Arabidopsis thaliana: one gene and its partners. The protein of the gene in region 3 interacts with the protein of the main gene of each other region in a pairwise test. Each region holds a gene or a part of one and is shown on either strand. Other genes may lie near its edges.

The links.
Region 1: the proteins of KCS9 (region 3) and PAS2 interact in a two-hybrid assay, tested with the Arabidopsis thaliana proteins (one study listed by BioGRID).
Region 2: the proteins of KCS9 (region 3) and CER10 interact in a two-hybrid assay, tested with the Arabidopsis thaliana proteins (one study listed by BioGRID).

The regions. Positions count from the first base shown.
Region 1 is NC_003076.8:3,295,690-3,303,167, forward strand, and holds PAS2 (Protein-tyrosine phosphatase-like, PTPLA), read right to left. Parts: upstream 4,463-7,478; 5' UTR 4,360-4,462; coding exon 4,289-4,359; intron 4,192-4,288; coding exon 4,080-4,191; intron 3,905-4,079; coding exon 3,886-3,904; intron 3,772-3,885; coding exon 3,683-3,771; intron 3,583-3,682; coding exon 3,529-3,582; intron 3,394-3,528; coding exon 3,367-3,393; intron 3,203-3,366; coding exon 3,132-3,202; intron 3,037-3,131; coding exon 2,955-3,036; intron 2,616-2,954; coding exon 2,519-2,615; intron 2,429-2,518; coding exon 2,358-2,428; 3' UTR 2,117-2,357; downstream 1-2,116. Other genes in the region: KAC1 (kinesin like protein for actin based chloroplast movement 1), read right to left, coding at 154-260, 381-551, 681-767, 1,046-1,169, 1,350-1,559; MSL2 (MSCS-like 2), read right to left, coding at 4,687-5,415, 5,507-5,563, 5,663-5,776, 5,879-6,046, 6,175-6,285, 6,417-6,566, 6,739-6,799, 6,931-7,044 and 2 more. UniProt on the Arabidopsis thaliana protein: Catalyzes the third of the four reactions of the long-chain fatty acids elongation cycle. This endoplasmic reticulum-bound enzymatic process, allows the addition of two carbons to the chain of long- and very long-chain fatty acids/VLCFAs per cycle.
Region 2 is NC_003074.8:20,518,506-20,526,027, forward strand, and holds CER10 (3-oxo-5-alpha-steroid 4-dehydrogenase family protein), read right to left. Parts: upstream 4,594-7,522; 5' UTR 4,352-4,593; coding exon 4,283-4,351; intron 4,099-4,282; coding exon 4,059-4,098; intron 3,597-4,058; coding exon 2,842-3,596; intron 2,750-2,841; coding exon 2,681-2,749; 3' UTR 2,425-2,680; downstream 1-2,424. Other genes in the region: AT3G55350 (PIF / Ping-Pong family of plant transposase), read left to right, coding at 13-202, 1,155-2,185.
Region 3 is NC_003071.7:7,047,640-7,055,033, forward strand, and holds KCS9 (3-ketoacyl-CoA synthase 9), read left to right. Parts: upstream 1-3,159; 5' UTR 3,160-3,546; coding exon 3,547-5,085; 3' UTR 5,086-5,312; downstream 5,313-7,394. Other genes in the region: AT2G16270 (uncharacterized protein), read right to left, coding at 1-309, 521-674. UniProt on the Arabidopsis thaliana protein: Involved in the elongation of C22 to C24 fatty acids, which are precursors for the biosynthesis of cuticular waxes, aliphatic suberins, and membrane lipids, including sphingolipids and phospholipids.

The DNA of each region.
Region 1 (7,478 bases), on a different chromosome or scaffold from region 3:
AACCGCATATACATCATAAGCTATGTTAAATTCTCACATACAAGCAAAGCTAGACACTAGAAAGTAACAGCAAGTCCATCTATATAGTTGCTTCACAACATCAACATGTGACCTATTTGTTAACTTTCAGAGGAAAATGAAAAGAATGGTTACCATGGTGTATGTCTTCCCTGCATTAGTTTGTCCATATGACAATATGGAGACGTTAGATCCATCCAGTGCAGATTGAACAAAAGGTTGGACATCGCTAAACAGTGCAGCTGAGCAAAAATTACAGTATAAGTACAGAGGTCGTATTGTTGCAGCTTTTGTAGATTGAAACCAGAAACAGCTCATGACATAAGGAGAGACTACATTTTACAATGAACTATGGTACTCACCTTGTCCAACATGAGGTCCGTAAACTCGGTCAAATTCAAAGTCCTTCTTGGGATTGGACAGAGTATCATCACTAGTGTTTACACATATGGTGCAATCCCCAGGGAACTCTATAACAGAGGGACCTTCATCCTCAAACAATGGCCTTGCACGGCAAAATACCTTTATGTTCCCTGAAGTACGAAAAACAAATCCACATTAACCAACAGGTAGCAGAGAACTATCATACATCAGTGAACCTATACCAAAGAAAGATTATCGATATAGAAAGATCGATGATACTGGTTATGGAAGCTGTGTACCTTTGGCCGTTAACAAGTCATTGAACAGTCTTTTCTTCTCATTGATAAGTGGAGATATCCTAGCCTCAGTCTCAAGGACAAACTGATCTGTGGTGGTTTACGTAGATAAATCAATACAACACACTACCAAATTTCCACCACAAAACAGATAAATAAACGCAACCACGAGAGCTAGATACAGTAGATGGATTTATGAAGTTTCCAATAAAGGTTTCAATTTTGGGAAAATGCCAACCAATTCTAGTGTTGTTAACTTCTCCAGTGGTCACAAATGCACCAAATGTAATGAATACTCAGTTTTTCTCGATGCTTGCACACAACTTACATAGACTTCAAATTTACGACTAGTGAAACACAAAACTTACCCAATTTACGACTTTTCTCAGCCAAAACACCTAAGTAACGTGTAACCCTGTCAAGCTTAGCATTAGAATACTCCTGAAGATCAGTAGCTTCTTGTCTCAACTCCAAGTAATCTTCTTTCGCAAGCTGTTCAACCAAGTCACAATTTTTTTTCTTGATAAGTAATGGCTTCAACACTAAAAACTTCCATCAAATCCCACAAGCTAGACTTAAGAAACTAAAAGCAGCCTTTTATAAAATTAATTCAGCTCAAAACCAAAAGCCAAGTATACTCTGTGAAGTGAAAAAGGAAGTGAAATTTATCACCTTAACTTTCTCCTTTAATCCGTTAACCTTAGATGCAATTGCTTGCTTAGGCGGAAGCGAGGGAGTCGAAATCGAGTTCCGGCGAAGCAGAGGACCAGTCGTACGGTGACCAGTACTCTCCGCAAACGATGCATTGGAAGAAGACTTCCTCGGTTCGAACCCACTCACCTCCCAGTTCCATCTATTGGTTTTACTTCTCTGATCGGCCATTTCATCCAAAAAAAAAATCAAATCAAAGCAGCAAGAATTGAAGCAGCAGCTTCGAAAGCCAAATGAAAGAATTCAAAAGTTTTCGAATTTTATTTTTGTAGAAATAATCAAAGATTTTTGTTTTTATTTTTGGTTCATCTCTGTGGATTTTTCCCTCGGTTTGGTATACAAAATAATGAAAGGCGGAGAAGGTCCTTTTGATTGATTCCAAACGACGACGTTTATATTTATTTCAATTTTTATATTTAAGAAAATAGACAACGCCGATGCCTTTTCAGACACAAATATTTTGTGATCTGCGTTACTTCACGACGCCTTATCGTGTTCCATGATAAATCTCTCACTAACGAACTACGTTGACTTTTATATATCACAAAAAAACAAGTTTTGATAGTTATTTTGGGCAAAGTAAATTTGACTCGTGATCATCTCAAAAGCATTTAAATATTTAAACCATGATAAGACGATATGACCCAATAATTTCACAATTTTCTTGATTTTTTTTCAATTTCATAAATATTATTAAGAATCCATTTCGACTTTTTGGGAAATTTTAGCTTAAATCAACTTTTTCATTTCTACTGAGAAGGAACCAATGATTTTCTTATTAATTTAGAAACCACATTACACTTAATAGTATCCTGCTGCATGTAAGTTCAAGTAATCGCCGAGGAAGTAAAAGCTCAAACAAGCTAAACAAAAGACAAGTTGTAGTAGTAGACTAGTAGTACATGAACGAACAAGACAAGAGGAGAAAACAGTTGATGAGCTTTTTCGTCTCTTTCTAAATCTTTTCTTTTATTCCCTCTTGGATTTGGAGAGAGCTCTCTTTCGCTGACCAAGCATGTACCTGTACATGTGTGGGCTACCTGCAACAGCCAAATACAAATTTAGTCTCGCAGATCAGAATTGAACAGATGTATGGGATATGTTATAAGAAAGGTTGACTGAGTTTGTGCCTGGGACATAGATTGCAAGGACGAGTATCGTTGCATAGAAGAAGTCAAATGAGAAGTTCAATATGTTAGGCATCCTAACGCTGTACATCTCCGATGTCTGCAGACAAAAGAAAAAGAAAAAAAAAGAGCAAAGGGACCATTCAGGAATCAACCATATATATACTCTCCCCTGATACCAGTGGAACAGAAAATCTGAAACTTTATAGATGGCATTAAAGTTAAGTCTATATATGGATTATTTTACAGTGACGTCTTGAAAGTCAACAAACAGATCCTGTCTACTAGAGTCTGAGGGAAATGGCTTTAACAGTTCATGTCTACTCTAAGAGCTCTAAATTCTAATACACAAAAGGGTGTAACAACCCGTAAAGAAATGATATTGTAAAGGAAAGAATTGTTCTCTGTTTAAGGAATTGACATGAGCCAGTTGTGTTACCTTGATGTGTGGTAAGGCAAGGTAGATAAGACCAACTTCGCTGGTGATACCGGTAGGGTATAGCAATAAAAAGCTGCTGTATCTGAACAGATTAACGAGAGAGAAATAAATGAGATTAGAGTTGCAAATTAATCTGTTTTTCAATGTCTATTATTATATTGCACATGAATGGCATACCTGAGCCACAAGTGCCATGAAGGTGCAAAGCCTAGAGCTTCCTTAAAGCCGAAGAATGAGTAGCGAATAATCTGCGCTCAGAGCGAGTTATTCATCAAACATATGAACTGAAGCACGTTATCCTAAAAGGACGCTACTAGGATAAGACTTCAACCAAAATGGAGTAATTAAGGAGTCATACTTAAGTCAAATCTTGACTGTTCGAAATATTAACAGCTAATCTCTTGTTCTGTACTTCAACAATCCATGTTGTGATAGGAAACTTTCAAAGCATCAGTAAGAGAAGCAATGTTTTAGACATTTCAGATTTATGGCATACAACGAATCTAATAAATGTCTCCTAGTAAGAGCGATATCAATGGCTACCAAAATCAACACAGAGACTAGATATAATCACCTCTGTGATAGACCAGCTTATGACCAGCGACGTAACAAGAAAATGAGATCGGACCTGAAATTAAATGAAACAAAGTTCAACAATCAAATGATGAAACTTGCAACAATCAAAGAGAAATAATGAACTAGTAATGCTGGTAACTTTCTAAGTTAACCTCTGGAAAACTGTATAGGATGCCCCAAGTGAGAAATAGCCTTGAACCTATCTGTGGCAGAGTTGCAGAAACAGGAGATCTGACCAAACCTATTCGAGTTTAGCAACACAGCAGAACACAACTCAGTCAATGATCTTAAAAAGAGTTTAATCAAAATGGTGTAGTGCAAGTTCGAAATTAGTCTAATGGATCAGATCACTCACCTACTAATCCATGAAGAATCTGCTCCACACCCGGAAAATTCCAAAATCCAGATTTTAATCAGAGGAAAGAAAAAAAAAACAAATACTCAGTTGCAACAAGTGTGAACCAAATCATTCTTCTTCTTCTCTAATTACCCGGGAAATGCAACAAAACAAGAAGAAATAAAACACGAATTGTGTCACGAGAGACGGACCTCGAGAACGGCGGCAGTCTGAGCAAGCTGGAGAGGCTTCTCAATGGCGTCATAGACATTCTCATAACCCGTTTCCTTCAACGTCGTTATCGCTAAGTACAAAACCTGAGCCCTAATACCCCAAATGTCACCAAAATTCAAAAATCAATCCGAGAGAAAAATAAAAACTCCACTAGACAAAAGAAGAAAGAGAGTCGAGCTCGACTTGCCATCCAGCAAAGACGATCCAATTGTAGAGAGTGAGGTACACGCGCCGGACAACGGAGAGAAAGCCCGCCATGGAAAGTGAATACGCGAGAACGACTAATTCTTTGAACACCCAGAAGAAGAAAGAGTAGATTTTATGGCGGAGAGATCGGAGGAGAGGAGCATTTATGAATTACATCATGACTAGAGACAGGTAAGCTACTTCTCAACCGTCTTCTTCTGATATTTATGATTTAAACCCATACTTTCACCCAACTATCAATAAACCACCCCTATATTTAATATACGACATTATCAACCCCCAACTTCCAGAATTTTGGGAGGGTAAATTCAATTAATTTCAATCGTATATTACATCAAAGAGTGTTATAAAAAAATAGCTAACTCATTGAATTTCATCTCACGGCTCGGTTGAAGCACCTGAGTTTGGTTGTGATTGGCTATCTTTCTGTTCCTTATCAGCCACCAATGGTCCATTTCCACCGGATCTGCGAGCTCCCGTGAGTTCTTTAGCATCTGTTTCCATGGGAGGAGAATGTATCTCTTCTTCGATTGGAAGTGTTCTCTTTGAGCCTTCTAGTGCAACACCCAGTACTATATTCTCTTCTAAAGTTGATCTAGACGCTGATGATGTTGAACTATCTGTTTCATCTGTCTTTGTTGATTTTATTGTGCCACCACTTCTCTTGGCCTTTGGTTTCTCAGTTCCTGATGTTTCTGTATCCTTTGGGGTGGGCGGTTTTGAGACCGCTTTGATTACTGGCTTTGCTACTGTTTCTTCAGGTACTTTGTTGGTATCAGAAACAGGGGATTCTCCAACTTTCACATTCGCCTTTAGATCAGGAGAAGACGTTTCTTTTGACTTTGGATTCGAGCCCTTGTTTTCTTGCTCTGCGGTTGGTTTTGCTGCACGGTTTTGAGATTTTGATTTGTCTTCTCCATTGATTTTGTAAGCGGGTTCAATTAGCATCAAAGGCCGCCGAGAAGTAACACCTCCGTACATCGATTCCCCAAATGGTGTGTTTTCCACGTCAGTCTCTGTGTACATCTTACGGATTGTACGGATTGGTGTAGCTAGACGAGCTCGGTGGTGGCTTATGACTCTAAGAAGGTCCAACAATATAGCTTCCTGTTTCACCAATACAAGAAAACGAAAGCAAATAAGTCAATAGTTCTTGTGAACTTTAAGTAGATGATAAGATAAAAGACTGAAAAATTACCTTTACACCCAAATATTCTTCGTGATGAGACGTCTTCACAAAGCAAGAGATCAGTATCTGTAAAAACGAGAACCAGATGTAAGAACCAGACCTTCCAAAGCTGCCTGAAATATCTGAAGATGGGTGCAAAAGAAGAGATAGGTATTGAAGTCTAACCGAGAGGGCCTGATTTTCTGGAATGACATTCTCCAAGAATACCCTTCTATGTAACCTCTGCTGCTCAACCATAGGATTCTTGGCCAACACTTTCCGCATGTCAGCTACAATATTCTGTTTGAGGAAGTTCCAAACAAGGATCAGCTAAAAAAACTCCATGATTGGACCTTAACTTGTATAAAGAGTTAACGACCATATGGGAATTAGAAAACTCACATTTATTTTGTTGACATCCAAGTGACTGATTGCTAGGTGAGTTTTAATACGCCAATGAGTTTTCTGAGTAAGGTTTCTCACGACATTAACTGTGAACTTATGGTTTGGGATGTGAATTGCCTCGCGGTCTTCACCTCTTATGATTGTTGGTGACCACCAACCAACATGCTGTAAATGCATTGCAACAAGCAATTCAGAAAGATAGCTAGCTAATTTTAAGGAAACGTTCAGGTATGGCAATGACGTGCACCGAAGCTAGGAAAAAATTCACATCATCTAAGCTCAGAGATTCTAACCTCCACAGTACCAGACACTTCATAACCTTCTATCTTTGTTTGAATCCACTCATTCAAAACAAATGGCCGGGTTGCATGAATCATAACACTTGAAAGAAAGTTTGTCAAAATCTGGAACCAAAAAACAAAAAAAAACTCAGTTTTTATGAAATATCTTTAGCATAAAACAGGAAAAGGAACGTCTAAAGCTAACAGTGGATATTCCGAAGAAACCAGTAATTAAAATGAGAATTAGGTTTCACCTCTCGGCCAGCAAGAGTAATCAAAACTGTCCCAAGACCTCCAGCAGTGAGCCATTTTTGTGTAGAGAAACCCAGCAACTCCATGAAAAGTGATACAGCAGCAACCCATACAGCAGAATACAATGCTTTCCCAGCAAATTGAAATCCCATCTGTACCATTCCAGGGGCAAATTAGCAAAACAAATTGAGAAGCCAATTATATTGTTGATAGAGATTTCTGATCTTGCGTAGACAGATATGCAAAATAGACCAAACATCCTAAGAATAATAACTCTACAAAATGTATTATTAAAGCACTTTTTATGAGTGTCACTTTACATACATTTCTTGTATCGCTCGGATTACTCGTTTCTGAGAATAGCTTTTGTGTTTGTTGGATAAGACTGCATGGGAACATCAAAGAATCAGAAGTCATGAGATGGCCACATAGCAATTTCACGTGATAGAAGCCACTAAAATACAGAAACATAAGATGAAGACGAAGTCTTGTATTTAAATTAGACAATACTCTTACCTGGATAAGCAGTAAGCAAATGCAAGTACCGTTGACAATGACCTCACAAAATTCAACAGTCGATCCTTCACAATTTTGCTAGCTTCTGTAGGAAGGACAACAGGATCTAATGCCCTATATAAGGAATAGTCACCAGCAATCAATTATCTCAACCAAGCACTTCAGATGAGGATACCACCAAAATATCTCAACAATTAAATCTCAGAAAGTCCCGAGGAACTACTTGATAGATATACCTGCAGATGAATAGAGCTCCTAACCATAGTAACAGAGGTTGAACATATGAAGTCATAACATGGTACGTACCACTCTTCTTCCAACCGTTATCATTCTTCTACAATGATTCAAAGGTAAAGATTCAGAATCTCATATAGAAAAGATACCACATTGATTTGAACTGAGACAACACAGAAATGAAAGCAGTAAACAAAAAAAAAGTGCATATAAACTTGAAATGGCTGCACCTACATTGAGTAGTATGTTTCTTCCTTGGCGAGCAAAAGGCACTAGACCCCACAGGGAGAAAACAAGAAGAGCAACAGCTGGAA
Region 2 (7,522 bases), on a different chromosome or scaffold from region 3:
TTTTGGTTTTAGATGGGACCAATCAAAACGATAAAGAAGAAGAAGAGAGCAGAGAAGAAGGTTGATCGGAACGTATTGCTTGCTGCTACTGCTGCTGCTACTTCCGCATCCGCCGCCGCTGCTCTTAATAACAACGACGACGACGACGACTCATCATCTCAGTCTTTGGATTGGTGGGATGGATTCTCTCGCCGTATTTATGGTATCTCTTTTTTTTTCCTACCTTTCTTGTTGGTGGTGATTTTTGCATTGGCAGAGTTTTTGTTTTTTGAATCTAATTGTTGATTCTGTTTCATGGAACTTGCAATTCTGAATGTTGATTTTTATTTGGGTTTTCTAGGTGAAAAAGTTTCAGATTGAATTTAGTAATGTAGACAAGAGATGTCCTTTAATCTTACTCTGTACATTGGAGTATTGTTTCGATCTATTGATTCGTAGTTTTGGGGGTTTGTGAGTTCTTATTCGATTCTAGTTGTGTCGTGGCTAACTTAAGTGAGCTATATGGATCCATGGAAGTGGTTTTTGTGTAGATGAAGTTGTTCTTAAGGCTCTAGGGGCTCAGTTTCGAGCCATTTAGACTCATCTAGATAACTTTGAGCATGTTTTTTTTTTCCTGTTTTCGATTTTGGTTTAAATGATATGATTCTTTAGAACCAATTTGGGATTAGCAGACTTTGACTAGTCTTAGTTTCTTTTTCCAATTTGGCAAGTTAATTTTGTTTTGTAAAAGTTCTCATTGCTTTCTGATGATGACATTATTAACTCTCTTTGTGAAGAGTCAGCCAGATGTTTTCCATGTCTCTTTCAGTGATGTTCTGATTATGATAAGACATTTTTTGCCCCTCTTCCCGTTGTCTCTCCCTGTGTAAATGCGCTTGTAGGTCGATGATAATCAATTGATAGGTCATTAGCTCTTCTGCTTTTGCACTCTTCTTTTAGCTTTCCGAGTGTTGGATTTAAGCTAGTCCAATGTTGTATGAGCTGATATATAATGTGATTTAAACAGTTATGGATCTGCATGGTTCTTTTACACTGACTTCATTACAATGAATGTGTCTTTGTACTAAAGAGCAGTAAGCTTGATCTTGGATACATTGTTGATTTTGTAGTTACTATGAGAATGTCATGTTTTTTCTTTTCATCTCCTTTTTCAGGAGGGTCAACGGATCCAAAGACATTTGAGTCAGTTTTCAAAATATCAAGGAAGACATTTGACTACATTTGCTCTCTTGTGAAAGCCGATTTCACAGCAAAGCCTGCAAATTTCAGCGACTCAAATGGGAACCCTTTATCTCTCAATGACCGTGTAGCTGTGGCGCTTAGGAGGCTTGGCTCTGGTGAATCTCTCTCTGTCATTGGAGAGACCTTTGGGATGAACCAGTCAACAGTCTCCCAAATCACTTGGCGCTTTGTTGAATCAATGGAAGAGAGAGCAATACACCATCTCTCATGGCCTTCGAAACTCGATGAAATAAAATCAAAGTTTGAGAAAATCTCAGGTCTTCCTAACTGCTGTGGCGCTATCGACATTACACATATTGTTATGAACCTTCCTGCTGTGGAACCGTCAAACAAAGTTTGGTTGGACGGAGAAAAGAACTTCAGCATGACTTTGCAGGCCGTAGTAGACCCGGACATGAGATTCCTCGATGTAATAGCTGGTTGGCCTGGGAGTTTAAATGATGATGTTGTCCTCAAGAACTCAGGATTCTACAAACTAGTTGAGAAAGGGAAGAGACTGAACGGGGAAAAGTTACCGCTCTCAGAAAGAACCGAGCTAAGAGAATACATAGTAGGTGATTCAGGTTTTCCTCTTCTTCCATGGCTTCTCACTCCATACCAAGGCAAACCCACGTCGCTTCCTCAAACCGAGTTCAACAAAAGACACTCCGAGGCAACAAAAGCCGCGCAGATGGCACTATCGAAGCTTAAAGACAGGTGGAGGATAATAAACGGGGTAATGTGGATGCCTGATAGAAACCGGTTACCAAGGATAATCTTTGTCTGTTGCTTGCTGCACAACATTATTATCGATATGGAGGATCAAACTTTGGATGACCAACCTTTGTCTCAGCAACATGACATGAACTACAGACAACGAAGCTGCAAGCTTGCCGATGAGGCTTCATCGGTCTTGAGAGATGAACTCTCTGACCAACTGTGTGGAAAAAATTCATCAGCTTGATTACTCTCTCCCGGTTCTTGTGGTCTTTCTATGAAAGCTTCATTTGCTTCTTTTTCCTTCTGGTAATTTTGTTTAGCATAACATTTTATCGTTTGATTTGATCTATTGACATATTCTTTTATGGGACAAACAAAAATGTGTATCTTATGAATGTTATTTTTAATTTATACAACTTGTATGTTTCATCGACGTCTAAACTCATTGCAATTGTCATTATAGAATGCCGCATAGACTGATTTATGTTACTAGTAATCATATTTATTATTGACTCATGTATGCGATACATAAAGAGGAATTGGTTTGCGTGAGAAACAACTACACAAGTACATTTCTAAATCTCTCTAACTTCAAAAATCAAAACATATTGAAACAAAAGGAATAAACATGTTATAACCAATACATAGACCGAACAAAAAAGGAAACGATACAGAGAACCCAAAGAAAGTCTCATTTTCAGCTTTATTAAGAGCTTTTACTGATAAGCAACAATGGCTTCTAAAGGAATGGAGGAAGTATCACCCATCTTCTTGGATACTTTGGCTTTCCATCTTTTCCATCAAATATCTGCAATACCAATATCAAACAATCCACAATAAGAACATTATTTGAGAATTTTCAGTTCCGCTAAAATCATATCGTGAGACCGCTATGTTTACCTTTCTCAGACGGCTGTGCTTTCCAAGAGCCCAATTAGTCATGATTAGAGCAGCAACAGCGAGGAAAACATATCCTGCAATGGTCTGAGTAGCGATGTTGAATCCTAGCCATTGGTAAATCTCGGTAGTGTAATTGGCACATGTAACAATGTTGAAGAGGAAACCGCGTGGAATCTGGTAGCCTCCAGCCCCACTGGGGTCCCTCAGATTCTTCAGCAATATGTGACAGTAAAAGTTTGCGACTTGGCAAACCAAACCAAACCCGAAACCAATCTTCATCTGAAGGTCACTAACTGGAGTGTACAAGGGATGGTTGACGTAATAAGCAATGTAAGCACCAAAGCTCCAGTAATAAGCACAGTTCCTGAACACATTCCCGATTGGGGAGGTTGCGTGGCTGAACCGATGTACGAAAAACGTTTCTAAGATCCGTTTGAAGTAGTGAAAGCACCAGTAGTACATAGCGTACGTCTGGACCGGATGGATCACACAGTCCTCTCCATAACCAAGAAACTTGTAAACAGGGAAGTAGTAAAAGACAGGGTAGATAAGGAGAGGGCCAAGATACTCGAAGAAGAAGAGTGTGCGGTAGGAAACTTGTGCCCCCAGGTCTTTGAAGACTACAGTTAAGGAGTTGTTGTTTCCATCACAGTACTCCTTCAGTGATTTCTTGCTATTGAGGACAACAGGTTTGTCCTTCGATCCAGGAGTCACGGGAAGAGTCAGTCTTTGCCTCGACGGGTAAAACTTCTTAGCTGTTGAAACAACAAAACCCAAATCAAACAGTTTAATACCTACTGAGAGAAAATCAAACTAAGATTTGAATGAACGAGATAAATATAATACATACAGAATATACATTGTACTGTATAGTAAGATGATTTCAGATAATTGCCATTGATGGACAATCTAAAGTGAACCTTTATTAAAGCTAAAAAGGGACTGATCCATAAATGACAAAAGGTTGTGATGATTAATTCAAATCCAAAACTGTGTTTAGAAGCTTAAGTGATCCTTATCAGCAGAAAACATTATCAAATCTAAATACTCCTTAAGCTTCCACACAGATCTTGATTATATAACCCCATAAGCATCAAATGGTATAAGGAGAACTCAAACACATAAACACTAGCTTAAGCTTACACACTCAGGTGAGATCTATACCAACATTCGACAAGTCAAATTTCAAGTAAAAATGAAAACTTTGGAAACTTTACCTCTCTTATGAAACGCTTCTTGCAGATCAGCAACAGTCGCCTGCGAAGCACAAAACACACGAAATCGAAATCAACAACCCAAAAATCATAAAGCATGCAACTTTCCCTACATTGAGGGACCAAACTAAAGAACAAAAACCTTCAATCACATTTTGGAAACAAACCCACGAATCAGAAGAAGAAGCAGATCGGAGAAGAGAGTATCATAAGAAACGAGAAAGTACCGAATCGGGGAGGTCAAGGGGAGCTTTGAGGACTTCTCTGCCGCTGCGGGAGACGACGGTGACCTTCATGGTGCTTAAGCGGAGCAAACGAGGAAGACCCAGATGAGGAAATTGAGAGAGATAGAGAGACAAGGGAAATTAAATAGAGAGGAAGAAGAAGACGAGATTGAGCATTGAAGAGGATGTAGTTGGGAGTAGGAGAACTACTAACTATCTTCCCAACTTATGCGATTAGATTGGGACCATTTTACATTTTTAGTTGCTCCCCATCATTTTTTTTTTGGTTTTTACTCCAAACAAAAACATTTGTTGCAATTGCAAATTATGGCTTTGTTTTAAGGATCCACCATTAGTAATTACTCAGTTTAGGTTTAGATTTTTGTTTTTTCGGTTTATGAATCTACTATACTATAGATTATCTGCTAAGGTTTTAGTTTCGGTTAAGTTTCGAATTTTAGTCAAATATATAATTTGTATTCAAAAACAAAAACTTTTACTATAATTTTTTTTATCAAATCGAGTGATCCGGTCAACTTAGATAGGAACCACCAAAGTGTTACTCGTTTTTTTTTTGGTATTTGGTTTAGTCATGTTTAGTTAAAACGTAAAAGCATTGCAGTATTCGCTATAGAAAAGAGTGAAATAATGTTACCTAGAAGAGATTGATTCATGAGCACAAAAACATTAGTTGCAAACTTCTACCCCCTCACTTGATGACATATGTCCATCGTATTGATCTAATGCTAAAATAAAATGTTGTATCAATGCAGTAAAAAAGTTAGGATTTTACATACCACAAAATGGGATGGAGTAATGAGAACGAATCCTTGTCATTGTCGTATAAAAGATGCAAATAATAAATGATCCCGGCCCTTAACCACATGGAAGTAGTGTGTTAGTTTAGTTATATTGGTCAATGAAATTTGCTTTTCCAACAAAAAAAAATCACCCAAAGTCAATCGCATACGAGAGCTCTATTAATTCAAGAGAGCAGCAAATAAAGCAAAAACTCAAAACCTAAGTTTTCTGAATATGAAAGGGGTTAGATAATCATTCTCTCAACTAGTTAAAAAAAGTAATGATAAAATTAAAAACACAATGGATCAATTAAGAGACAGTAGTTTATGATATATATGGTTGGGATCGATTAGTTGACATCACAAAGATCAAAATAATGACCGGTAATTGCCCAAATACCAAGGCGACAATTCATGCGATATTCAAACACCTTAATGTCATTCAAATACTATAACTAACTATCCTCAATTAACAAAGCTAGCTAGATTTTTCTCAAGTGAGCAACAGTCTAATTCTTCTGAAAAAACTTGTTTTTTCCGAGTGTAAATTATCCAATCTACTTACTACAATTTGAGCATTAATCTAGTTTTCTCTGCAACTTTAAAACCAGGTGTACAAGTGTCAACACCAGATCTAGCGTAAAACACTTAAGCTAGTACTTAAATAGATTATGCCTATTTTTTCGACCATTATATATTAAACTTTCCAGCCTTTCGTGAAAAAATGCGCATGTTCTTGTTGGAATCTAGGAATCTTCTTCTACTAAAGATTGGCATGCACGTGGTAACGATTTCCATTGTATACTATCTCGATATTTTCCCACCTTAAATATCTTGAAAATTAAGATCAAATTATATGAGAACATATATTGTATCATTGTTTGTAATAGCCTTATATAGTGTGTAGATGTGAACTATGGATACAAAAAACAATAGGAAAGAAAAAGCTGCAGAGAAGGTGTTGCTTTACAACTATGAATATGGGCTCATGAGATGTACACTACAGATAAGCGAAGATTCCTGTTGCATGAAAATGTGTTACTAATAAAAAAAACACATGCACATTTCTATAAAGACGAATTTCTTTTAAATAATAAATTTCTATAACAAATAAAGATAAGTGCTCCTTTAAAAACATGCAAAAGAATATATAGATTTACCGTATCAGATTTTCATACAATTTTTATATTTTTTGAGCTTGAAAGATTAACATGACAAACTGTATCGTGTGTCCTCGTCTATTCACCCCTAGAAGAAGTGAAACATGGAACTTTATGTATTTGCATACGGCGAGCTAGCTTCTTCCCTACTTGTCCAATAGATGAAGACATTATCACTCAGGTTCAGCTACTTCGAAGCGCAACATATCGACAAAAAATCGTTTTAGCTCTATCATCTGTCTTTTGAAGAAAAATATCAACATATCAAATACATATACACACTCCCCACAAATATATAACCACAATATATATTGGTTACTACGAAATTCCAATGATATTGCTCTTTGAAACAACTAAACTGTGAATTACAAGCTAAGGCAATATATCTATTATATTCTTTCTTTGTGTCTCAACTTCATCCCTTTCTAAGTAATTCAAATTAATTGGAAGTTTTGTCATCTAAATTGAAGTTCTTCTTACCGGATCATTTTGTCTCAGGTTGATATATACTTTCTTAGTCTGATACGAAAAACTTATAAATATAATGATTAGAGAGAGACATGTTTGATGTTATATTTTTCTGGTAAAAAACATCTTGATTATGAACTATATAGTTAGGGATATGTTTGATGTTGTGTGTCGACATAGTGAGGTCCATTAAAAAGAAGGTCTGATTAAATTTTACGTTTGGACCACAAATCTTTCTTTTAGAAATCGCGGACTGGGACACCTTCCTACAACATGTCCGTCTTTACTAATCTTACGTACCCCTCACATTCGTAACCATAAAATCATCAAATATAATATAGAGACTGGTGATCATAATTCGAAATATTTTTCACTAATTCAATGTTATCGGTAAGTTATATTAGGGGTATAACATCAAGAATCACGAAAGAATTAAAAACAACCTTGTCGAATCATGATTTGATTTTTTGGCTTATACTTTCTAATTTTTATATCTTGTGCTGCAAATTAGCACCAAAATATATATATTCTTCTTCTTCAACATCGAATTCTTTATTTTGTTAAAGGCATTTTTTTCTTAACAGAGGAATTTTACATCATTCTTAGACTGAACTTTCGGGATAAAAAATCTCGCCATGCAAAGGTAATTTATTTTTTCATGACAAAAGCCACAATGGCGATAATTATAACTATAATACTATGCAAAACGAAACTTTACTTGGGTCATACCGAGGAAAACAAAGGTACACTCGATTGTGACAACTCCACCAAAGACCACCCCACTACCAATTCACCTTTATTTGTTTCTTTATTCA
Region 3 (7,394 bases):
CATGTGATTCCACAAACTTCTTCTCATCATCGATACAAATAGTATGCAAGACATCCGAAAACGAAACACATGACTTAGCTCGGTGATGATTTCTTTTGTTATCATCCTCCAAGATTAGACCTTTAACATCAGAGAAGGAGCGAGACATTTCGTTTTTATCAGACAACACTCTCTTCCTTGGTGACGCATTGATTTTAGAAACTGCTGAAATTGTTGGTGACATGAAGTTCTTGGAACCTTTTGGAGTTAGTTGAACAGGTTTGGTCTCGTTCTCTTTATCTCCACCAAAAGAGTTCCTCCTAGTCAAATCTAAAGAAACACAAACATCACAACACCTCAAATAATCAAAAATCATATCAAAGAATCTGAACTTAATCTACAATAATCAATGATTAGCCAAGAGAATGTACTATTCCGCGAAGACTAAGTTAAACCCTAATCTAAAAATCAAAACTTTGAGGAACTGAGCAAAACCCTAATCTAAAAATCAAAACTTTGAGGGATTGAGAAAGACTCTAACCTGAGGGGATGTTGACTTTTGAATTCGCCGGAAAAGGGTTGCCACCAAAACTCCGGCGTAACGGATCACCGGCTTCTGAGTTTCTAGGTTTAGGGTTTGGTCTGTTAGGGATTGGAGGAGAAAAGGAGGGATTTTTGTTGGTAGGAGAAGCCATGAGTGATTAAAAGTGTTCGGAATTGTTTGATTTGGTAACAAATCTGAGATCTTTTTGTTAGTTAAAGGAAACAATGAAACAAGAAATTTGAAGATCAAGAAAAAGCCCTGAAGATGGAGAGAGTTTGAGATAGAAATTGTAACGGCTACTTGTAAATTTTGGAAAGATAGATCTGAGGATTTAAATGACGGCTACTGTATATTTTCGACCGTTGGGATGAAATATTAAAAGGTTGTTTCAAAAATTGTAGGATCTAATCTGATTCATGAATACTACTAAAGCTTTTATTAGAGATATACGTAATTCATTTGATAATTAAATTGAATTAAAAAGGATTTGAGCCTGGAGGTGGACCAAGTAAAAAAAAGGGGTTATTAATTATTTTATACGTAATCATTTTTAGCTCTTTTTTTTTTTTAATAATGCAAAAGTTTGTTATTTTTTTATCATTTGGTTCACCACTCAAATATAGTATAAGGTTTTGGGAGAATAACCAGTGTTTGAAATAACAAGGTTAAAAGCGATAAATGGAGAAATATGATAATTAACGATAGTTTTATGATAGTTCAGAAGCAATGGTTATAAGATACAATGCTACATGCGAAAAGATGGTAAATCGAAAACACAACTATCAGGTTCGTCTCTACCCCATCGTAGATTAGACAAAGGCTATGTGTTAACTACTAAACTATAGACAATCTCACGAGTGAAAAATTTGTCTTTGTTGAAAGACATGATGATGGTAAAGAAGAATATGTAACCTCAAATTTTGCCGGTACAAGACACATTACAAATTGTTTGTACTTATGCCGAAAACTTGAAAATGTTCTTCATAAAAAAAATTTCTTCTAATAAGGACTAAGTTTTTTCAGCCATGTTCGAAATTGATACTTGTACTTCCAAATTAAAGATGTCGATATATAACTTGATTGGTGTCATCTGCCTTTCAAGTCATAGTAGTGATGCATCATAATATATGGAATAGACCATGCATCGTCAAAGACCTCACCGATAAGATGCGACTGAAGTCCAAAAATTGAAATATTTACTTTATCTTTATCTATAAATATTTTGAGATCGCTTTTAGAAAAATATAATTTACTTTGTTGTCGAATTAGTAGTTTCACTTTACTTCGCATTGATTATAACTCAAATATTATATTTTACAAAATAAAAACAAAATCATTTTCAATATTTTTAACTTTTTTATTTTCTAAATCTTGTAAAATTTTAAATATACATTCAATATTCTGGATATTTATATTCTATATCTAAAAACAATCTTTTTTTTTCGAAAAAAAATCTAAAAACAATCAAAAACAAATTGTGAAATAAATGAGCTACATTTTCGAAAAGATTATTTTTAATCCTACACTATACAATCCTTAGAAGACTATTCCACCAGAAATCACATAAATTCAGTGTGTCAAGTCTTTTTAATACCATTTATTAACATTTCCCTACTTGCTTCCTACTTCGACTTGACCCCCTAACCAAATGCCAGCCTTCTCTCCTTTAATTGTAACATCCAAAATCACATATTTACAGAGCATGTCGATCATAATGCTTGAGGTATGGATAATCGCGAATAAAGTCACATATGGGTACATGAGAGCATGAATATGGAGATACATGACTGGTTTTGTGCGCATCATATGATGTTAACTGTATGAAATATGTTATCTAATTGTATTGGTCAATTTGAAAGTGTTAATTGGTTGGTTATCGTGTTAACACTCGTTACTCATGTTTTCTTTTGTAATGGAAGTGAGGAACAATGTATGGTGCAGGTGAAACTTAAGTGATCGTCGACATATACATTGTTTCGATTATGATTTAGGAGATTCCAACTTTGATAAAATGGCATTTTAGCGTTATTAAATTATTGGTTAAATTTTATTGGAGTTTCAGTTCTTATTCAAGTTGCATTTAACCTTTTTTGAAGTATCACCTGTTTTCATACAAAACAAGCCATGGAGACGGATTTATATATTCTGATTATATAAAGAAATAATAGGAGATTATTTAAATAATATATATTTGGTTGATTTATTGAGATTTATCTTTTATGTGTTCATACTTCAGACGCATATATGACTCATATCTAAAAATAATTTCTACTTGCATTATCCGATTCTTTCTGTTGCTTTGTAATGGCAGAGCTATCCATAAAGCTCTGCTTTGATTTTCATTACTTTTTTCAGTTGTTACCTATACTCTATATACATATTTGCTTGATCAATCAATTTCACATTCAAAAATAATATAAAAAACTTCTACTTTCCTTCAAACAAAAATGTAGTTTAATAGCACACCACACATTCAAATGAACAAAATAAATATGATTGGGCCATTATAGAACCGCAGTCTTTAGAAGACTATTCCACACCAACAACACTCACATTAAAGTAAATGCAGACATATGCTAAATCCTTTTGATACCACATAAGATTTCGTTGGCAAATTTATTAACATTTCCTACTTGATTCGACTTGACCTCCTAACCAAATGCCAGCTTTATCTCCTTAAATTGTAACCTCCCCAAAATCACACATTTTTATTTTACCCTAAATTAAAACTGTATACCTTTTTGGCTGCTATTTATACACAATCACACAATTAAAAAGATCAAATAAACAAAATAATAATATTCCAAATAATAACAAAACAAAAACACTTTTGGTTTTTTCTTCTTCTTCTCTCTAAATCATAAAAACACAAGTTTTCGACAGATCAACTGTTTTCTTCATTACGTGTTCTTCAATGGCGTCACTTCACTGATTCTATTCCTATCAAACCCACTTACCCATTCCCTTTTATATGCACAAATTCTCATAAAGTTTTCAATTTTATTCCATTTTTCTCGGAAGCCATGGAAGCTGCTAATGAGCCTGTTAATGGCGGATCCGTACAGATCCGAACAGAGAACAACGAAAGACGAAAGCTTCCTAATTTCTTACAAAGCGTCAACATGAAATACGTCAAGCTAGGTTATCATTACCTCATTACTCATCTCTTCAAGCTCTGTTTGGTTCCATTAATGGCGGTTTTAGTCACAGAGATCTCTCGATTAACAACAGACGATCTTTACCAGATTTGGCTTCATCTCCAATACAATCTCGTTGCTTTCATCTTTCTCTCTGCTTTAGCTATCTTTGGCTCCACCGTTTACATCATGAGTCGTCCCAGATCTGTTTATCTCGTTGATTACTCTTGTTATCTTCCTCCGGAGAGTCTTCAGGTTAAGTATCAGAAGTTTATGGATCATTCTAAGTTGATTGAAGATTTCAATGAGTCATCTTTAGAGTTTCAGAGGAAGATTCTTGAACGTTCTGGTTTAGGAGAAGAGACTTATCTCCCTGAAGCTTTACATTGTATCCCTCCGAGGCCTACGATGATGGCGGCTCGTGAGGAATCTGAGCAGGTAATGTTTGGTGCTCTTGATAAGCTTTTCGAGAATACCAAGATTAACCCTAGGGATATTGGTGTGTTGGTTGTGAATTGTAGCTTGTTTAATCCTACACCTTCGTTGTCAGCTATGATTGTTAACAAGTATAAGCTTAGAGGGAATGTTAAGAGTTTTAACCTTGGTGGAATGGGGTGTAGTGCTGGTGTTATCTCTATCGATTTAGCTAAAGATATGTTGCAAGTTCATAGGAATACTTATGCTGTTGTGGTTAGTACTGAGAACATTACTCAGAATTGGTATTTTGGGAATAAGAAGGCTATGTTGATTCCGAATTGTTTGTTTCGTGTTGGTGGTTCGGCGATTTTGTTGTCGAACAAGGGGAAAGATCGTAGACGGTCTAAGTATAAGCTTGTTCATACCGTTAGGACTCATAAAGGAGCTGTTGAGAAGGCTTTCAACTGTGTTTACCAAGAGCAAGATGATAATGGGAAGACCGGGGTTTCGTTGTCGAAAGATCTTATGGCTATAGCTGGGGAAGCTCTTAAGGCGAATATCACTACTTTAGGTCCTTTGGTTCTTCCTATAAGTGAGCAGATTCTGTTTTTCATGACTTTGGTTACGAAGAAACTGTTTAACTCGAAGCTGAAGCCGTATATTCCGGATTTCAAGCTTGCGTTTGATCATTTCTGTATCCATGCTGGTGGTAGAGCTGTGATTGATGAGCTTGAGAAGAATCTGCAGCTTTCGCAGACTCATGTCGAGGCATCCAGAATGACACTGCACAGATTTGGAAACACTTCTTCGAGCTCGATTTGGTATGAACTGGCTTACATAGAGGCTAAAGGTAGGATGAAGAAAGGAAACCGGGTTTGGCAGATTGCTTTTGGAAGTGGGTTTAAGTGTAACAGTGCAGTTTGGGTGGCTCTAAACAATGTCAAGCCTTCGGTTAGTAGTCCGTGGGAACACTGCATCGACCGATATCCGGTTAAGCTCGACTTCTGATTTAATGAAAAACCATTTGTTTGGTTAGTCCTAGTCTTACTAGACTCTGCCTTGTTTATTTTTCTTCTTTTCTGGTTAAGCTCTTGTACTCTTAATGTGACGCTTCTTGATTATTACTCTCGCGTTTTATTCTATGGCATCTTTATCCATATTAAAGATTGGTTCGTTATTATAATCATCTCAAATCAAAATTGACAATGAAACAAAGTAATATTTTGAGAATAAATAAAAAAGCAAGGGTAAAAGCTCTTTGACAACTGTAGATTGATCTCGATCTCAAATGACATATCATTAGGACTTGATTTGTATCCAAGCAAAGGGAATCTTACAAAAGTAACCTGACAGGCGATTATTTGCTGGCAATCTTGAGATCCAAATGTGTGTTTTGGGTGTCTTTATCTCCAAGTTGGCGATTTTGATACGATCCAAACACAAAGTATCTTGGTTCATATCATCAACATTACTACGTAAGGTTCTCTACTATTTAGTCATAACGGGTTTAAGTCCAGGGGACAAGCCCATCCCGGTCCGCAATGGTGCGGGTATGGACATAAAATTTTAGGCTTGTTAAGAAGCAGGCCTCGCAAAGCCATGGCGGACTGCGGGGTTTAGTGGGGATTTTTCCACGGATTGGCTGGTAATATATATATTACTAATATATGTATATTTACATAATTGTGAAAATGTGATAATGTATAAAAACAGTTATATTTACAAAAATTATTTAAAATTTAAAGTTTTCATTTTTTTTCCTAAAAATATAGTTCAGTAAGAAATAAGGATCTCACTCCAAACATTATGACATAATGATTGGGGCTTTTGTTCAAATGGGTACATTTAAGCCCAATAACTAGTGAGAAGGCACATCCATTATGGGTTTATAAGGATGGGAACTTTATGGCTATTGAGATGACGTTTTTGCCCTCAATTTTGTTGTTGACAAACCAAAAACCACTTCATCGTCTTCTCCGTAGCGTGACAGAGTTCTTGCTTTTTCACGCACTTGCTTTATCAACACTGAATCCACACTCCATCAACATCAATAGTTTCATATTCATCAATATTTTTTTCCTTGCCTCCAACAATTCACAAACTTTTCTTCCACCAATCTAATCCAAAATCTAATGAATCAAATTAAACGAGTCTTGTTTAAAGGAATCTAAACCCTAAGTGATAGTGCCTAAGAAACCCTAAGTGATAGACACAAATCGGAACAATTAATCTCAAATTCATCAAAATCCTAAACTAAAGGGGAAATCACTTTTCATTGAAGTTTCGGAAAAGTAATGGTCTTCGGTTTGTAACATGGGAGATTAAAAGGGGAAATCATTTCAAAGGATGTTGGGTTTGGGCTTCAAACTGCAGTTTTAATTTAAGTTTCGGAATCGGATCGGAGATACATGAAACGCTTGGCCGGAGTTTCCAACGAGAAGAAATAAAATTATAGGATTAATAATTAGCAGAGATGGTGTTGTTCATCTAAGGAAATCACAAATCCAGAGCCGTGTAAGCTTTCCTCCGTCTCCTCTTTATTGATTTCAGAGCCATGTAAGCCCTCCGCCGTGTAAACGCCGGCGAGAAACGCAAGGTAAGAGAAGACATCACGGTCGACGAATTGAAGTAGATTGAACTGGTTTAGGTGATTAAGGACAATGATGTCTTTTTAACTGAATGAAAATGCCTATTCCTATTAACACATTGAGAAGGTCTGTTTGAAACAAAGGCATAGAGAAAAAAAGGAGTTTTTCATAATTGATCCCATAATGATTGGTTTAAACTAAAAGAAGTGACTACAAGGGTTCAACCGTAAGGGTGAACTTAAGAATTTTCCTTGTTTTCCCAACAATATTTTCTGGTTTGTAGGGTACATATAGTTTCAATCGACTCAAATATATAATTTTCGTGATGGTGATATAGCTATCAGAGTACTACTTTCCTTCAGTTTTATTTTATTGTAGAGAGTGCACACTGTGAAAACATAGTACATTGAAGTGGAATGTACATTGATATTTAGGGTACACAAATATATAATTGTATTGACATTGAGTTTTTATTAACTATTATGCCATGAATAGTGGCAAAACTTATATAATATGCTACATTTCTTTCATTATTTTTGCGGGTGCCACACAATATCATTGAAAACACCAAACTCACCTCAAACCAGTTCTCTCTTTTAAATAAAAGTATTGGCATTTTAAATTACGGAGTAGACATTGCATCTGTTTGGCTTTGAATCTCTGTGTCCATGCCGTACTATATTGGAGACCAGCTGAAATTTCCTCATTCTAGATCAGTTTTTGAACACC